Linked DNA regions of Caenorhabditis elegans. The protein of the gene in region 1 purifies or fractionates together with the protein of each later gene. This does not show direct contact. Each region holds a gene or a part of one and is shown on either strand. Other genes may lie near its edges.

Region 1 (3,138 bases):
CAAGCTACAAAGCGTGATCAAAGAACATTTTTGATATCTGTATCAATACAGACATCAATTCCACTTTTTGTTATAATCGCACCTGCTATGGCGGTTTTGTTAGCATCGTGGACGGGAACTTATCGTCAAGAATGGATGAATTTGTCTAACGTTTGTATTGCAACTCATGGGCTTGCTGAAAGCATTTCAATCATGTTGGTACACAAGCCCTATCGAGCAGCCATTAGGAGAATACTCGGAACAGGAAATACAATCGCCAACCATAGAAGTGTTGAATTATATTAATTGATAATTAAAATAAATATAAATTATGTTTTAGATTGTTTCGTTCACGTGCTAATACAACCGCCTTAACAGACTCGAAACCGACGCTACCAGTGAAAAGAGATAACAAAGCATAAACTAGACGGTTCGATAAAATCTGCAATTCATCGGTTTCTTCTTGGGCTGGGTTAAAAATAAAACACCGGTAGTTGAACAATGTTGTTTTAAAAACTGAATTTTAAGTTTAAAACAAAGCAATTCACAAAGCATCAACAATTGTCATTATTCATTGTATTAATCACAATCGCTTCCTTGGACAGTACTTTGAACACAATTAGTGCTTCGATGAACAATCCGATATTCTTGAACATTGTCATTATCGGGCCAACCGTTTCAAAATTGACACTTTGAAATTGCTGGGAAATCGCTGAGGGAAGAAAACTAAATATGAATATGATAATTGAGTCGATGAGTGCAATTCGGGTTGCCTGAAATATTTTTCTGCAATAAAAACAGTGAAAACTTAACTTAGTAAAGCCCAATTACATTGAAAATCTCTCCAAATCCTGGTCACAGCGGTTTTTAACAACTACGGTAACAAACTTACTTTTGTGAACAGTGCATTTTTTTGTGTTCCTTGAGAATAATTCCAGATTACAAACCGGCACGATAAAATGACCAACGAGACTAAAATCAAGGAATCTGTGTATTTCTCCACCGACAATGTATAACTATAAAAACACGCGTTCACAGTGCACTTGAAATGATCACAGTCCAATGGCACATCTACCACAACGCCACAGTATCCAAAGAGGATATATTGATGAACTAGTAAACATGCAAGCAAGAGTGATAAAATCCCGCGTAACGTAATTTTGTGACGATGATTATGGTATAAAATTGGAAAATAGGTGGCGAAGATTCTGTCCAGGTTGATTACCAATACTAGAATCGGACGAATAGTTACTAATAGGTTAGCGGGCCATGCCAAGTAGAAGGACATGTTCTTCATAACAAAACCAGGGTGAATCTGGCGAGCAATGTAGTATGCTTGAATAAGGAATGCTGTAACATTATGGAGTTGCCAATTTATTTGTGCTACGACTCACCAGAAAACGAATAAACCATATCAACTGAAATTCGAATATAAATTAATACTAAATCTGGTTTTCTGCAGAGCTTTTTCGAAACAAAAATAGAATACAACAAGTAGAAGTTCAAATAGAACACTGTCTGAGTGAACAAAAACGAAAAAATGACGGTTGAAGTTTTGACGAGAAGCATTTTTTATGAATGTAAGGTAACAATATTCACACTATTTTGCCGAGAGAAATGATTTCCAAATTAGCGATATATATATATATATATATATATATATATATATAGGCAGGAAATTGATAAAAGCAAAAAAAAATAATAAAACCTCCCATTATAAACAAAAGTCAGAAGAAGAACAGAGACCGCTTGACTGGGCTTTTGCCAAAAAGATGTCATTACTCACACGTATAATTTTTCCGGTCTGAAAGGACTCTAGGACTTTGCCATAATCACGTGCCTTAAAAGTTTGATAATAAAGAAGCTTCCGAAAAATGAGAATTTTTGCTCCAATTCAAAAATTCAAAATTACTGTCAATGCTCGTCGGGAAGTTAAAAATTTTCAGTAAATCTTCAAAGAAAAAAAAAAATTTTCTGTCAAATTTTTGGCTGAGAATTCTAAATCGCACAGAAATTTCAGTCAATTGCCATCAAGAAATTTGAATTTTCCTTAATTTTTAAATCAATTTTTCGACGGAAATTTCGAATTTTCAATTGAATTTTGGCAAAAGATTTAAATGATCATTTTTGCTTCAAGTGATACAATACGGGTCGTAACGACCGAAATTTGCTTAATTAAAAAATTTTTTTTTTTCAATTTTACAACAAAAAAAGTTTCAAACTGGCTAATAAAATTTGAATTCCCGAGTGAATGATTTACCGACTTTCAATACTCTGGCATTTTCTGGCTACATTGTTTTTTTTTCTCGATTTTGTTCATTAAGTTTCCAACCCTTTTTACGAGCCACGGATTCTCTCAGAACATTTAAGTTTCCCGCCAAAATATTTTTCGCAGAAAATTTGAATTTCCCGCCAAAACATTTTTTCCGAAAAGTTGAATTTCCCGCCAAAATATATTTCTTTGAAAATTGGAAATTTCAGTGAAAATGTTTTCTCAGAACATTTTAATTTCCCGCCATAGTATTTTCGAAGGGTCTCACTACAAAGGGAGCCCGTCACAGACTACAAAGAGGCTATAAACTATGATCATTCATTTTATTCAAATATAAGTAATGATTTTAAACCAACTTTATAAAAGTTTGTAACAATTTTCCGTTGAAAAAAATATGATTGTGGGCCTGAAATTCAGTAACCTAGCATTCACGGGTGTTTCCTTTTATTTTCCAAATTTACAAATGTCTCTATTTGCGCTTCGGGTGCACCAGAAAGCTAGAACTTTGTTATTACTTTAAAAACTTCAGGAACAATTATTCAAAAATTAGTTATATGACCACTATCTCTAGTGAGGTTCCCTCGTGATGGCTGAACGTTGATGAAAATTTCTGACCCTGAAATTTTATCATATGTTATACAACTTCATTTTAAAAAAATCACTTTTGAACAACCATCTTCCAATTACGTCTCGATATGGTTTGTGCACAAAAATGACTCCCACACTTTCGCACAGGCCATGAAGTAGTGCACAACAAAAAGCCAAGTTCATTGCTTTCTGAGAATAGTAGCCAAATGAATTGAAGGCGAAAACAATAGCAAGTGGTATGATCACTACGGCAAAGGGTATCGAGGTTTGAAACAATATGCTGACCAGAAAAGTTTTCT
Region 2 (3,464 bases), 3.7 Mb from region 1:
GACTTATATTGCAAACAAGCAAGATGCTAATAAGAGTCAGTTGGGATTTTTTTTCAGAATTTTTCCTACGTTTTTTTTGCTAATTTTCAGGGGCTCGAACTGAAAGAGAGAAAGCTGAACTTCCATTCCTTCAAAATTCACATAACGATGTGTGGGTACCACGAGAAGTTGCTGAACAAGAACGAGAAGTAATGACAGTTCGAATGAATCGCCGTCAAACAAATAGCGTCTGGAAATGGATCAAAACAAAGACTGAATGGAATGACAAGTCGAAAAGAGCAGATCTTATATCTCGAGTCATGTTCCCTGTACTATTTCTCACGTTTAACATCTCCTATTGGACTCATTATGGACAATACGGTGTGGCCATCAGTACGTAATATTCTGGAATTATTTAGCAATCAAATACTTTCTACTATCATACCGGTGCCCTCAATGGAGAAAACAAAATGAACACGCCTGCAATAAACACCATTTGAAACTGTGAATAAAACCTGTTTGTTACGAATTTTTTATAAAAATAAATATTTTTTTAAATGAGATGATATCAAACTTGACAAAAAATGAGATGAACTTTGAGGAATGAACACGTGGATTTACTGTTTTGCCTTTGAATCGAGAAGCTCCTTCCGGCAGGAGTCAGCCAAGAGTTGTGTGTCGACTTGATCGGATGGGAGTTGCACGTACCTTTAAAGAATCATTTTGAAATATTTATGAAAAATGATAACTAATTGTACCTGACGACGGATCCGCGGATGAAGCAGTTTTTGACAGAGACCATATGTGGAAATCGTTCTGGATCGGAGACGGTGATATCGGTCAACTTCATGTTGAGATACTGATCGACCGAGTGCAGAGTTCCGCAGATACTGAAAAATTATTAGAATTTGCATTTGAGAGATTAGAATAAGATAATTATTTTTTAAATATTAATTTTGTGAGATTTAAACTTCAAAACTTATAAAAATTAGCAGAACTAATCTTAAATGGAATTTCATAATTTAAATTCAAACCCAGGAATGGCACTTGCGTTTAAAGAGATTTCGAGAAATTCGGAATTTTCATTATGTGGAAGTGTATCGTTGAAAATGATTTCCGTCTGGCTAATACATATTTTCGGGGAGTTTCGAATTCTTTCTAGACATTCAGAATATTGAACCCAAGAAGTTTTAAGCATTTTTTGTGAACCAATTTTTAAGAAATGTCTTGAAATTGAAGTTTTACATGGGTTCCAGTTATTTTCTCGATTTTCTGTAAATTGTATATACTGATTTAACAAACCGCACCTCAAATCATTTTTGAGCTCCACGACAACGTCCTTTCCTACGAGTGATTTGAAGAATGAGAAGAACAGCTGAAATAGTAATATTTCGTGAGTTACAACAAAAATTCGGGACTTTCTACATACCTAAACCATTAATTTAAATTACATTTAAGCGGAACAGCCTCATATCCGAGACAACCAACAGTTTTATAACACATTTAATAATTTGAGTATGTACTTTTTCAATTTATATCACAAAATTAAAAGGAAAACTAACCATTTTATGTTAAATCGTCGAAGAATTGCAAAGATTCAGAAAATTAATGAAAAAATAATATTCAAAACTAATTATAAACAAGGCGCACTGCGTCAAAACGGAGCATCGTTGCCAGACGAGAGAGAAGAGACGAAAAGAAATCAGAGGGAATCCGGTTATTTATTTGAGTGACCAACAGAGAATTCCACTTGCCAGTTTGTTTTGCGCTATGTTTGAATCATCTTTCGAGACAGAAAGAGAAGAAAATGCGCCGGTTTTGTTGTCAAATCAATGCTTTTCGCCTTCCCTCTTCGTTTATATCGATCTGATGATATATCTCAATTTGTTGTAATCTATTTCGTGTATCACATTTAAATCTCCGTTCGTTACATTCGAATTATCGCATCGATGAACTGTTGTTTTCCAGAACACATGCTTCGAAGGTTGAAAGAACAAGTTTCGCAAGTCGCGAATGATGTAAGTTTTCCGTTTTGTAAAAAAATTAGTTTTTTCCATTTTGATAATTTATTTAGATTGACGGCCGACTAAACAACAGTCGACCAAGTATTTCAAGTCAAGGTTCACAGTCGCAATCACAAAAATCAGAAAATGATCAGGAGATCGAAGGGTTCTTGTGCCCAATGTGTATGGTAGAGCTCGGTGGTCCTGATGAACTTACTGTTCATTTTGAAAAAGAACATTCTGACGTAAGTTGATTAATCTCTGATTCAATAGAATTTTTTGATAGTTTCAGACATCAGCCAACAGAAATCATCCCGATTACACTCCACCTCAGCAAGCTCCACTCGCCTTTGCTACAAAAGATCAAGAAATTGAAGAGCTTCGAATAAGAGTTAACGAAGAGAAACGTTTTGCTGAACGGATAAAAGAAGAACTTGATAATATTAAATCGGTAATGGCAATAGCTTCAGAAGTCACAGAAGATGAGATTCCATACATGGCACAGCAGATTCAAGTTCTCACAGCCGACAAAGGAATGGTTACTCGGCAATTTCTGGAACTTGAGAAAGAGAGCGGCCAGCAGTCCCGAGAATTGCAACAAGTTAAACAAGAACGTGGAGATTTGATGGCCAAATTGAAACAGATGAGCGTCACAATGCGCGAAATTACGGATGAATCTGAATCGGGCAAAGTTGAAATGGAGGATCTGAAAAGAGAGCTGAAAGTTGTGAAATCAGATGTTGTTCGGTACGAAATCGAAGTTTCTCGGCTTGAAAAGATGCTCGATCAGAGGCCTTCTGAAGATGATGTGAATGTTTTGCGTACTGAGCTAGTTAATGCTCAAAAACTAATGGATGCTATTTCTCAGGAGAAAGATATCGAAATCAAGGAACACCTAAATTCGATTCGTAATTTAAGCATGGAACGTGAAAAACAGCACATCGTAAATGAGAACTTGGAAAAGAAAATTGGCGAAGGAGAAGAAACTGTGAAGCAGTTGCAAATATCGTATGATGCTCAATCCGAAGAATTGAAACAACGAAATGAACGGGTTGTTCAATTAGAAGCCAGAATCGAAGAGAACGTGTTCGAATTAAGTGAAAACAAGCAAAACGTTAAAAGGCTCGAAGATAAAGTACAAGAATCACAAGATGCTCTTCAAATGTTATCTAATATCAATGGATCTAATGAAGAACAAATGATAAGCCTGAATTCAAAATTCGAGCGGGTTAGTTAATTTCTTTGTTTATTTTATCGTATTAGGCAAAGCTGTAACCTGAAACTCAATTTCAATTTGCCGGTTTTATAAACAATGTTTGCAGAATACAGCGGAGAGGAAACGAATTGAGGCGGTTTTCGAGGAAAAAGTAACAGTGCAAGGGGAAAGACTAAAAACGGTGAGAAAGTTATGTAAAATTCTATATCCCGGTCTCGACACGACTTTTTTGTTAAATGGAAAAGGATGTGCGCCTTTAAAGAGTA

The links. Proteins that work in one complex are often made in the same cells at the same time.
Region 2: the proteins of srbc-62 (region 1) and gut-2 fractionate together in Caenorhabditis elegans (co-fractionation; one large-scale study listed by BioGRID). This does not show direct contact.

Annotation. Positions count from the first base shown.
Region 1 is NC_003283.11:17,216,400-17,219,537, reverse strand, and holds srbc-62 (Serpentine Receptor, class BC (Class B-like)), read right to left. Parts: upstream 1,549-3,138; coding exon 1,374-1,548; intron 1,330-1,373; coding exon 872-1,329; intron 753-871; coding exon 534-752; downstream 1-533. Other genes in the region: srh-109 (Serpentine Receptor, class H), read left to right, coding at 1-285.
Region 2 is NC_003283.11:13,495,856-13,499,319, reverse strand, and holds gut-2 (U6 snRNA-associated Sm-like protein LSm2), read right to left. Parts: upstream 1,580-3,464; 5' UTR 1,545-1,579; coding exon 1,542-1,544; intron 1,355-1,541; coding exon 1,287-1,354; intron 870-1,286; coding exon 738-869; intron 688-737; coding exon 597-687; 3' UTR 501-596; downstream 1-500. Other genes in the region: avr-15 (Ig-like domain-containing protein), read left to right, coding at 1-35, 91-380; eea-1 (FYVE-type domain-containing protein), read left to right, coding at 1,953-1,997, 2,054-2,227, 2,269-3,210, 3,305-3,379.